3 linked regions of the Sus scrofa genome follow. The protein of the gene in region 3 interacts with the protein of the main gene of each other region in a pairwise test. Links are inferred from orthologs where the notes say so. Each region holds a gene or a part of one and is shown on either strand. Other genes may lie near its edges.

What was found.
Region 1: the proteins of ZMIZ2 (region 3) and SALL2 interact in binary tests that used the Homo sapiens proteins (3 or more experiments, as listed by UniProt). The two-hybrid records come from large-scale screens. The link is inferred for Sus scrofa from reciprocal best matches to the Homo sapiens genes ZMIZ2 and SALL2.
Region 2: the proteins of ZMIZ2 (region 3) and PIN1 interact in binary tests that used the Homo sapiens proteins (3 or more experiments, as listed by UniProt). The two-hybrid records come from large-scale screens. The link is inferred for Sus scrofa from reciprocal best matches to the Homo sapiens genes ZMIZ2 and PIN1.

What each region holds. Positions count from the first base shown.
Region 1 is NC_010449.5:77,637,672-77,641,797, reverse strand, and holds the start of SALL2 (sal-like protein 2), read right to left. Parts: upstream 2,828-4,126; 5' UTR 2,544-2,827; coding exon 2,471-2,543; intron 1-2,470. UniProt on the Homo sapiens protein: Probable transcription factor that plays a role in eye development before, during, and after optic fissure closure.
Region 2 is NC_010444.4:68,714,407-68,718,740, reverse strand, and holds the start of PIN1 (peptidyl-prolyl cis-trans isomerase NIMA-interacting 1), read right to left. Parts: upstream 2,844-4,334; 5' UTR 2,789-2,843; coding exon 2,731-2,788; intron 207-2,730; coding exon 1-206. UniProt on the Homo sapiens protein: Peptidyl-prolyl cis/trans isomerase (PPIase) that binds to and isomerizes specific phosphorylated Ser/Thr-Pro (pSer/Thr-Pro) motifs.
Region 3 is NC_010460.4:50,585,391-50,588,953, forward strand, and holds part of ZMIZ2 (zinc finger MIZ domain-containing protein 2), read right to left. Parts: intron 3,195-3,563; coding exon 3,050-3,194; intron 2,974-3,049; coding exon 2,763-2,973; intron 2,146-2,762; coding exon 2,040-2,145; intron 1,866-2,039; coding exon 1,708-1,865; intron 803-1,707; coding exon 735-802; intron 498-734; coding exon 429-497; intron 160-428; coding exon 1-159. UniProt on the Homo sapiens protein: Increases ligand-dependent transcriptional activity of AR and other nuclear hormone receptors.

The sequences.
Region 1 (4,126 bases), on a different chromosome or scaffold from region 3:
AAGGACACACATGAGAGCCTCCAATATTAGCTCTCCCTACCTAATTTAGGGGCATGCAGAACAAGAAAATGTCCCTGGGGAAAACTCAGGCAGCTGAAGATCACATAAGTGAATAGAAACCCTATCTATATATCTTACAAGAGCAGGAAGGAATTTTAGATTTGATCTAAAATTCCACCTCATTTTTCACAAGTGAGACCCAGTGAACATTCTAGGTCATGCAAGTAGCTCAGGATCTTTCAGTCTCCGGAGAATTTGGAATCGAGACCCCTTGGGCTTTCTTAAGGTTACTACTGCTTTCTTGCTCCTTATATTTATGTTTCTAACTTTTATGGCTCAGAGGAAAAAAATCTTAACTGAAATTTGTTGCTGTCACTGGGTTCAAGCCTGTACTGTTTCTATGGAGACAGCTTTGTAGCAGTACCCCTAAGCCCCCAAGTGTTCACAGTCCCAAGTGGGGCTTGAGAATCCACCCAGGGCAGCTGTGAAAGACTTCTTGTGACTTCCTTCCAGATTCTTGCTCAGCAGTGGTATGGGGAATGGGTAAACTGAGGATGTGGGGAGAAGAGAGGAGAGGGGAAGAAAGGAGAGGATGCCTCTGGAGTGGAGGGGACTCAGCATTGTTCCACAATCCAACCAGCAGGGGAGCAGAGCTGTAAGGCAACTCTGAGGCTCTGGGGGAAGTCTCCTGTAGAGCAGCAGGAGGAAACATCCGGCCTGTAGCAGCATTAAGAAGGGCTAATATGTCCCAGGAGGGTAGGATGCCACCAGCCTGAACCTCTTAATATTGGCACAGTGGGATCCTAGTAAAGCACTGACTCAAGGGGGATGCTCTCTACCCAAAACCCAGTATGTCTGCTAAGGCTGTTCCATAGCACGTGGTGCCCTGATTTGATCGTATCTTTTTTTTTTTTTTTAAACAACAGGTGGAAAGGTAAATTTAATCAGTGATCTAGTTTTAGTCACTACAAATACATTATCCTAAAGCTTTTCACTGCACACATTTCATAAAGAAATGCTTAAGTTCACCAAGAGGCTCCTGAGCCTTGATCATATTTCAGCACTTGCAGGAAGTGCCACTGTACTCACATATAATGCTAATAATACTCACATATTAAGTACTTATTTATGATAGGGACTGTACCATATTTTTCCAAGTGTATTAATATGTACTAACTCATTTCACAATAACCTCATGAGGTAGCTAGCGTGAATCATTCCTATTTCACAGATGAGGAAACTGAGGCATGGAAAGGCAAAGTCAACCAACCAAGATTGCAGAGCTAACCAAATGGTAGAGCAAGGATTTGAATCCTAAACGTCTGGCTTCAGAACCCTTGTACTTAATCCTACACTATATTGTTGGGTGAATCAATTATTTGCTAAGCAAATTAGTTAATCCCTGAACCAGGACTTTCAGAGTTTCATAAAGTGAACATATGTAGCCAGATTGTCCCAAACTTGCTCAATCTTAAGAATTATCTGGACATTTGCAAAGATATAGATTCCCCGACCCTAGCCCAGATCTACCCATAATCAAGCAAGTTTGGAAAACCCTAATTTATGTGGAGTCAGCACCACCTACCCTGAATATCATGAAACCTAGTTTTCTGTCTCGACAATGCCTCTGTTTCTGAGGCTGGGCAATGTCACTTCTGTGTACCCTAGTTGCCCTGTAGGCTGCCTCTTACTCACTGGAATATTTTAAGAATACATGAAAACTCACAAAGAAAATCTGTTACTTAAGGAAACTGATGATATCCTAATACCCTCATAAAATGGTATGCTTGTATTAACAGGTATGTTAACTCATACATTTTTTTTTTTTTTTAGCTTGGCCTCCCCTGAAGCACAAACCAACCCATGCCCCTCACCCAGACCTTTCCTCCAGCCTCTACGCCAGGTGACACAGATACACATCCCAAACCAAGCTACATCTGACCGGCTTTAGCTCACTCCCTTTGGGAGTTCTGCTCTGCTGTCTGCTCAGCCCAACAATGAGAAACTTTTTTCTCTTCTCCCTCAGGGGAACCTTCACGTTTATCCAATTCATTCTCTTGCAACCCAACTCCCCAGAAAGAAAGGCGAGGGGGGAAATCCCACCCCTAAGAGACGGTCTTCAGGTCTGAGGAGGTTACTTAGCAACGGCACAAAGACCAGTGAGCAAAGGGGGACCTGGGGAGAAAACTCTTGGGTGGGGAGACAGAGCCAGTTTGAAAACTCCATTTCAGCCGAGAAAAACAACACAGAAAACACAAACAGAATCAATTCCCGAGAAAAGCCAAGCAGGTCTTCTCCCGGGCACAGGTCATCTCCTCACTCCCTGCATCTCAACTCCTTCACCCCCGACTCCCACCCAGTGACCAAGTCCTCCCCCTGGTTTCGCCCATGGCCCGGGTGCCCTCCCTTGCCCTGGCCTGACCCACACAGGCTTGGACTCAGGGCTCCCCCACCCTCCCCAGGCACCCACCGTTCTCAGACGCGCTGGGACCTTCGCAGTCCGAGATTAACTGTTGGGGTTTCCGCTGCTTTCGCCGAGACATTCCCGGGTAGAGAGAGGTGGGATAGGGAGGGGCAACGCTCACTTAGTCTTAACCGGGGTGACCTGGTCTGGTCTCCCCCTTGGGTCTAAAGCCAACTGATGCCTCCCCCAGTGCCAATCACTGTGAAGCAGAGATGTTCTCGTTTCCTGGGACGGACAGACAGACGCGTGCGCTCTCTCTGATTCTCTGTCCCTGACTCTCTCTCTTTCTCTCTCAATCTCTGCAAGTCTTTAAAGGGGAGACGCCCCCTTTTTTTTCTTCAGCTTCTTCCCTACGCTTCTGCAGCTCCCATTGTAAAAGCAAAAATCCTAATCTTTCCGCACACTCTTTTCTTTTGTACTGCAGAGGAAGGGATTTAACCCTCTCCTCCCTGCCAGGGCTCGGGCCTCTCACCATGCTGTCTGTTCAGAAAATGTCCCTCGGTTGTTTTTCTAACCCTCTTCTAAGATCTTCACTCCACCGTGCTTTTTGGTTATTTCATGATTCCATGCCACCTTGTTTGATGATATGACTGCTTCTGGGGTATAAACTGAAATGAGAACTTTATGGTATACCCAGATTATAAGGTTGACAAATCAGCTACCTGCCAGTCAAAAATGAGGATATGGAAGGCTGATAAAAAGATCAAGTAAAAACAGTTATTATAATAACTACTTAATGTATGTAGATCCCTTTATAATTTACAGGATATTTTCATGTACATGACATATTGTGAGTATTACAACTCTGAGATTAGCACAGCAGGTTTTACTACTTCTATTTATAGATGATCCTCTTTATAGATGAACCAAAAGGCTCAGTGAGGTTAAGTAACCTATCGGAGGTTGCACAGCTATGATGTAACAGGGAGAAGCCTTGAAGCCAGTCTAGCATTTTTTTTTTTTCTACTACCTCATTAAAGGTACAATATGCTACCAGACTCCTAGCATGGAAAAAGAGAAGTGATTGATCTCATTTAAGGAATCTAATTTAAAATAGCTACAGGGTCAGTGGCACTTCTGTCTCTCCTACTCCTGTCCAGCTTCCAGGGTTGAAGGGATACCACCTTGGAGAAGATGGTGTAAATGAGTTCCGTGGTACTCCAGAGTAGAAGCTACAAGGAGGCACTTTCAGCTCAATACAAAGGAACTTTATAAAGGGCAATGGACTCTCCAGTGAATTTGTGAGCTCTTTGTAATATGTTCTCACAGAGGCTGAAAACAATTGTCAAGGATTCTGTGGAAAGAATTTCCTTGTGGCTATGAAGTTTGACCTTTAAGGATTCCTCTATGTCTAAAATACATGATTTGGCAACCAACGATGTCTCTCCTGCTCAGCTTGCACACTTAAGGGTAATTAGTTTATTGTTCTTTAACTTCTGACCTTGTTGTTCCTACCTAAATTTGGGGAATACCATACTACTGGGCATAGACTATCTAGATATGCTCTATCTTCTAGCTATAATGCCATGCCCTCTCTTTTAACCTTATTTACCTTTTGCTTTTCTGGCTAAGATGAGAGAGCATCTGAAACACTGTCAGTTAGGAAAGTGGAAATTATTTTTCCCTTTGGAGTTTAGTGACATAAATCTCTGATAGCTGCAT
Region 2 (4,334 bases), on a different chromosome or scaffold from region 3:
CAGCTCCAGAGCCTCCTCCTTAGTCCGGGTGATCTTCTCCTGCCGCCAGGATGAGGGCCGCCGGGACTGGCTGTGCTTGACCAGCAGATGCGAACAGCGGACCCTGGTGGGCTCTCCTTGTCCATTTTTGCTGCCGCCACTGCTGTTGCCACTTGGCCGCTCCCACTGGCTGGCATTAGTGATGTGATTGAAGTAGTACACCCGGCCTGGAAGAGGTGGAAGTGGAATTCAGCTGGGACCTGCTCACAGGACACCACTGGGAAGCCATGATCAGGGGCTGGCTGACGAACTACCTTTCATTCAGCAAGTCCCCAGTGCCACCAGGCCTTAGGGAGCTAGCATTCTAGCTGGGGACACAGACACCAAAGAAGCAAATGAGACCACCTTACAACTTCAGTCATTAATAAGGTCAAGGGGGGAGTGCAGGATTTTTGAGCACTAGCTAGTCTCAGACTACTTGTACTGCCTTACAATAAATGCTACACTTTCTTTCACCACCAAAAAAAAAAAAAAAAAAAAAAAAAGTTCAAGGGGGAAAATAACTGAAGGTTAGGAAGAGAGGAAGCCTCAGGGACAGAGAATGGTTCCAAGCATGCATTCAGCAAGGCCGGTCCAAATCTGTGGCTCCACCACACCCTCACATGTGATCTACCTTCCCGGGGCCGTGGTTTTCTCGCCTATAAAATGAAAATAAGGACAGTACCTGCCTGAAGGAGTGACTGTATGAATTCACATCTGCAAAGTACTTAGGACAGCACCTGGCACACTTAATTAAGAGTGTAGGAGGAGTTCCCGTCATAGCTCAGCGCTAATGAAGCAGACTAGCATCCATGAGAACTTGATCCCTGGCCTCGCTCAGTGGGTTAAGGATCCAGCGGTGCCGTGAGCTGTGGTGTAGGTCACAAATGTGGGTCAGATATAGCATTGCTGTGGCTGTGGCATAGGCTAGCAGCTGTAGCTCCAATTTGACCCCAAGCCAGGGAACTTCCATATGCCATGGGTATGGCCCTAAAAAGACAAAAAAAAAAAAAAAAAAAAAAGACTGTGGCAGCTACTAATATCTCCATGTTATAGACCACAAAACTAAGCAACCTTCCCTGGGTATTTACTCTGCTCCAGGCATAAAAGCCGGGGGTGGGGTGTGGTGGGGGAGATAGCAGGATCTGTACTCAGGTGTGCCAGATGCCAAAACTCTGCTCTTTTCCCCTCTGGAGTGCACTGTGCAGCAGAACTAGGGGCCAGCATTACTGGGGGCCAGATGTTACCCAGAGACTAAGGAGCATGGAGTGAGGGCTGCAAACAAGAAACCTGAGGCCACTCTCTGGCCTTTTGAGATAATATTCTGTCTAAAGAATGTGCATCTTCCAGGCTGCTCTCACCTTCTGAGACGGCCCACACTGTATCAATAAATCTACTTCTTATCTAAGGAAAAAAAAGAAAGAAACTTAAAGTAGGACCCAGTAGAGATAGGCTGTCATTCCAGGGGCCGAGTTTGTCTGGGTTATATGGAGGACTTCTGCCCAAGACCGTGAAGGGCTGGATGTCACCCAGGAGGAAGACTGTCAGGGTTGAGCTGAGCAGAAATGGCAGGAGTGGAGGCCCAGAACTGAGAAGAGCATCAGCTTTTTTGCTGCAGGTCCCAGCCACAGGGCTGCAAGCAGGGTGGGCCAGAGCTGAGCCAAACAATGCCTCTAAAACCTTGGCAATGGGTTCCATCTCCCTGAACCTGAGTGTACTCATCTGAAAAGTGAGGGCAAGGTGAGAGAATAAAGATATAACACTTCATGGGGTTAATGTGGAGAGTCCATCATGATGAGTGCAAAGTGCTCGACAGAGCTCCTGGCGTTCAATAAATTGGAATTATTACTGTGACCATGATGATTATGAGCTATGGAGGCAGGGGAGTGAAATGGTGGGCCTGCATCTCAGAGGTTTACAGTAACAAGGGCAGGGGGCTCTGGAGTTAGACTGGTATCTAACCCAGCCCCCAGCCCCTGAAATGAACGACTATGGGCGAGTTTCTTAAGTTTTCTGGCCTCGGTTTCCTCACCGGCAAACTGGGTGTTATTAACTACCCTACCTCTCAGAGTTGTGGCCAGAGTACACACTTAACACCCTTAGCACAATACTTGGCACTGAGATAAGACCTATTATTAACATTATTATGGGGGAAAAGCCCTAATCGGCTCCGAGCACAGAGACTATTCTCAGGCAGATAACCTGAATTCTCACATTATAGCAAACTCAGAATTCGGTGTGGATGGCAGGCACGTTAGCAGGAGGTTTAGGATTCGAAGCCAAGCAACACCCTGGGGCCACGCCCTGAGCATGGTGTTGGGGTGTCCTTCCCCAGGGGTGCCCCTTGGGCCCAGCAGGGTGCAAAGACATCCCCCCCCACCCCCGCCGGATGTCAGGTGCATTAGGCTGAAAGATGTCAGCAAGATCGGCAGGACCAAGGCCATTGCCTGGGGGAGCGCCGCGGGTACACTGTCCCCCTACCACCCAGGCAGCGCGCCGGGCCTCTCCGACCCAGTCCCTTGCCTCAATTTCCTCGGGTTCCCAGCTCCTCAGGCTCGCAGCCCCGGGGAGGGCCGGGGCCGTTACCCAGGGACAACGCGAAGGAGCCAAGACCCCACGGGAATCGAGCGGCCGCCCGCGTCCGAGGGACAAGCTAGAGCCCTGCTTCCATGGGCCCACACGGCCCCGCCCCAGCCCCGACCCCCGCTGCACCTGAGCTGCGGCTCATGCGCTTCTCCCAGCCGGGTGGCAGTTTCTCTTCGTCCGCCATCTTCCCTCCTGCGGCAGAGCCCGCTCCACCTCCGCCGCACCGCCTCTGCCGCCCGTGCCCGCCCACCACCGCCGCCGATTGGCTGGCCCCGTCACGCCCCGGGGCATGGCGACGACACTCATTGGGAACCCTAACTGTCCGGATTGACTCTCTGGCTTCCTATTGAGCAGAAGAAGGAATAGGCGGAGCTTCACATATTTCACCAGGGCTGGGCCTTCTTGAGGGCCTCACCCAAGCCCCGCCCTCCCCCTTTCCTCGGCCCCTAAGTGGTGGGAAAAGGACCTGAGCCCGCCTAATAACGCCCTTTGGCGAACTTCAAAGAAGTTTCGACCCCGCCTTTGCGTCCTTCGCTGCAGAGCCCATTCGATTGGCCAATGCCGCAGCAATTCCCGCCTTCTTAAGCCTACCCCCAGCCGGCGCCCCCACGTGGAAGTGCCTGGCTGGTGTGAGGGTAACCGCCGCAGAGGAGGTTCTTGGAAAAGGCACGCTGCCTTTGCTGTTACCATAGCAACCCAGTTACCTTGGTGATGAACAGCTAAGAACCCAGAAGCCTAAATTTGGCTTCTCCACCCTCCCTCTTCCCACCTGTTCCTTCCACATGCCCAAAGCTAGCCCACCTCCTTTTAGTTTTGTGTAAGTCTCTTTCCCTATGCTACTTACCTAGACACCTTCCACTTCCTTTAGAATCTACTTTACTTCACTTATTCCCTCACAGTCTGGCTCCTGTCTCCATCCTGGGTGACTGGTAGGTGTTGGCATTGCCATTCAGATGGGGACAAGGGGGAAGGTGCAGGTGGGAAGATGAGGAACTCAGTTTTGAGTCAGTTTAAACTTAAGTCTGGCACATGTGGGACACACCAAGGAGGTGGTTGGAGACCTAGGGCTGGAGACAAACATGGGAGTCAAAACACCAACAGGGAAGAGTTCACTTACAGTTCATCTATAGCACAGGCACTTACGTAACCGCTGAAAAGAATGAGGCTCAGTGACATGAAACGCAGAGGAACACGTCTATGACAAATTACAGAGGTAGGATGCTGTAGGTTAAGAGCATTCAGGAGTCAGATTGCTTTGGGTTCAAAGCCTAGCTCTACCATTTGCTATTACCTTGAACAAATTACTTAACCTCTGCACTTCAGCTTCTCCATCTGTGAAATGAGTTTAAGAGATAATACATATCGTAAATACCTTTGATATAAAGATTAAATGAGTTAATAATCTATATAAAGCACTCAAAAGCAGTATCTGGTCTTAGCAAGGATATATGCTGCTCAGTGGAAAAAAAAGTCATTGTACAGTGTAGCAATTATAGAATGTATGAAAGCATAACAAAACCAAAAAAAAAAAAATTCAGCAAATAAAGGTTAATTTGAAAGAATGACATCACTTACAGAAAGATATCAAAGCTTTAAAAAGGCCTTAAAAAGCAAGCTGCTGAACGGTATGAATGTTATTAGAGTATGCATACTTAGTTGTGTAAAAACTGCAGTTTTATATCACAGAAAATTTCTGGATTCATTCAAATATATTAATGACTAACTTAAGC
Region 3 (3,563 bases):
ATCTCCATCACGCTGGGCATGAGCACGTGGGCAGGGCTCACGGTGCGGCAGCGCTTCAGCACCGGCCCGTCTGGCTCCTCCTTGACGTGCACGTCAGGCTTCACAGGCACCGGCTTCCAGCTGCACGTCGGGTCGATGGTGATCTCCTCGTGGTCAGAGCTGGGCAGGGACAGGCAGGGCTAGTCACCCCCTGCCCGGCTGCCCCTCCTGGCGCTGGGTCGTGTCTAGGCAGACCTTCCCCTCAAATGCTCGGGGGCACCCAGCACGCTCCACGTGCCCTGAGGGGGGCGGGCCTAGGCGGGATGAGGATCCCATCCACGGCCTGGAGTCGAGCCTGCTCCACGTGGATCAGCAAGGGGGCCTCCCCGGGCCAGGGTGGCGCTCTGTTGACCACGGGACGGTGGCGGGGGGAGGGAAAGAAGACTTACTTCTGGATGTAAATGAGGATGCCCAGCATGTACTGGTCCACCTCCAGGCCCTCCAGCAACGCCGTCTTGCTGTGGAAGACAAAGGGGACACGGCTCAGAGGCCTGGCCCAACCTCATCCTGGGCACAGCTGTCCCTGTCCAGCTCCCAGTGTGCCATGACCCTGTGCGAGGTCACTGCCTCGAGCTGCCCCTTCTTCCCCCCCCATGCTGGGACTCCCACACCTGGCCTGGGCATTTCTTGGTGCTGTTGGAAGGAAACGCCTGTGCCACCCCCAGAGCCAGGGGGACCACCTCTGACAGACTCACTTGCACACGGGGCACCTCCAGGTCCCTCGCTCACAGTTGAGCTGCAGATAGGACTCTAGGTCGAAGCACTGCAGAGAAGGGGAGAGATGTTTCGTCCTGGGGCAGGTGGGCTCTGGGCGCTCGCATGATTGAGAGGGCAGGGGGGCCAGGCTTTCCCGAGACTGCAGACAGCCTTTGCAGCCCTCACGGGGCCTGGACCGCCACGCAGCCAAAGCAAGAGTCAGGCAGCCGTGCTGACAGCTGACCTCCAAGGCTCGGTTGGAAAGGTGCAGTAAGAATATACTGCTGGAGTTCCCGTCGTGGCGCAGTGGTTAACGAATCCGACTAGGAACCATGAGGTTGCGGGTTCGGTCCCTGCCCTTGCTCAGTGGGTTAGCGATCCGGCGTTGCCGTGAGCTGTGGTGTAGGTTGCAGACGCGGCTCGGATCCCACGTTGCTGTGGCTCTGGCGTAGGCCGGTGGCTACAGCTCCAATTCAACCCCTAGCCTGGGAACCTCCATATGCTGCGGGAGCGGCCCAAGAAATAGCAAAAAGACCAAAAAAAAAAGACAAAAAATAAATAAATAAATAAATAAATAAATAAAATAAATTAAAAAAAAAAAAAAAAAAAAAAGAATGTACTGCTCACGTAACCCGAAGCAGGTGGGGTGGGGAGTGCGTGTGCAGGGACCTGTGTGCACGCAGAGTGTGTTTCTACAGAGACAGAAACTAAGGCGCTGCTCCTGGGGGCGCCCTGCATCCCTGACGCCTGAGAAATCCGAGTCAGGTCCGTGTGGGGAAATGAATGTTACATGTAGAGTAATATGAGAAGAAACAAAATCCCAGTCTGAGGGGAGAGAGCAGGGGAGCCAGGCCACTGTCACCTGCCTACTGGCTGGCCTGGCCTCCTCAGCTGAGGTGCTCAGAGGCCATGTCCGCTGAAATCGGTTAAATGCGGCAGAGGTTTTGGCAAAGCTCTGCAGTGACCACACACCTGTATGTGGCGACAGTCGTGACCTCGGGCAGGGAGCTGGATCCTGCGGAAGGTGATGGGGCACTTGAGGGACACCTTGATGGCCGTCTGCTCCACCCCATCCTCTCCGTTGGGCCCAGGGGTGCCGGGGATGGTGCCGCTGCTGAAGTTCCGCTTTACTGCCATGGACAGGGCAAAGGGGGACCTGAGCAAAGCCAGGGGCTGGGCGGAGCCCCTGCCCGAGCGGAGACAGCCCTGAGGGACACGGGGACGGGATGCACGCAGCAGTGGCCGCTGCTCGGGTGCGGGGTGGCTGCTGGGGCGGGGGGGCAAGGAGGGCAAGAGCCACTCACTCTTGGTGATGCAGTGCTCGGCCGGCAGGAGGCGCTTCTTGAGGAGACCCTGCAGCACGGAGCGGACAGACGGCCGGTGCACCAGCTGCAGCACGAAGAGGTGGGACTGCAATGGGGGGAACCCAGTCAGCGGGACGTGGCCCGGGGGGAGCAGCGCAGGCCCAGTCCCTCCTCCCTAACTCAGGCAGGCCACCTGCTGCCCCTCCCCCAGGAGCCCAGGGGACCACGTCCATGCCCACATGTAAAGCCCACCACGTGTCTGCACCACAGCCTCTCCATCAACTCAAGAGGCCCCTGAATGCGCCCTGCCTACAGCTCCCCACTGTGATCTGCGCTGGCTCCACGTGAAGCCATCCTAAGCCCGCAGCATTGCATGGGGGCTGCCCTGCCTACAGCACCCCTCCCTCCCACCCAGGCTGCTCTGTGCTGCCCATCTAAGCACATCCTGCCTCTTCTAGTCCTGGATCTCAGAGCCTGCTGGAACCCAGGTGACTCCTTAGCAAGGATTCAGGGTCAGCTGGGGACTCGAGACTCCACGAGCTTCCTCCAGGGAAGACACAGGCTCAGCTCGTTTCTCTTATGTAATTTACATGAGCGCCGAATCTAGTTGGGGAACCGAACCAAAGAGCAGCGAGGCCGTTCATAACCGGGGCCCCTTCCTTCAAGGGCCGGGGTGGGAAGGAGAGCTGTGGAGCCCCCACCCCGGCCTGCGAAGGCACTCACGCAGCAGCAGGCCGTGACGGTGATCTGGATGGTGTTGCGGCCGGGCTGGCACACGTGCTTCAGGTAGAGGGGCTTGTGGGAGGTCTTGTTGTCGCCGCGCTCGATGGTGAGCGGGGTGGCGTTGACGCTGACCTGCACGGAGGCCGGCCAGTTGGTGTTCATCTGTCGGTCCTCGTGGTGGTAGCACTTGAACTGCAGCTCCAGGTCAGGCCTGCGGGGGGAGGACGGATGCTGAGAGCGAGAGGGCGGCACGAGGGGCTGCGAGCTGGGGGCGGGCGCCCGCTCACCTCAGCATCAGGGTCTTATAGACGGAGTCGCGGAGCTGGAAGGCGTGGTTGCTCACGGCCAGGTTGTGCTGCAGGCGGAAGGGCTCCAGGACCACCCCATCCCGCACGGGGAAGGTCAGCCGCAGCTCGTCACAGGGGCCACTGCCTGGAAGCGGGCCACGCTGGTGTGAACGGGCCGTCTGCGCCAGATGCCACCGGGCCGGACAGGCTGCCCCATCCCCATTGCAGGGACCGTGGCGAGGGGAGCACGCACCCCGCTTCCATGGGCCTGGGTGGCATCTCTCCCGGGAACCTGGGCTTGGCCTTCACCTCCAAAAGGAGCAGAATCTTGGCGTCCCTCCACCCCGTCCTGTCTCAGCTGCCCAGTCAGTGATCCCTCCCCATGGCTTCTGGTGCCTTCAGAGGCGTGTGTGGACCACCTGCCATCCCCCTAGTGCTCAACTAGGGTTAGGACCCCAACTGCTGCTGAGTGGTCTCTCAGAAAGCAGTTGTCCTTAACCAGGAGGGGGCTTCA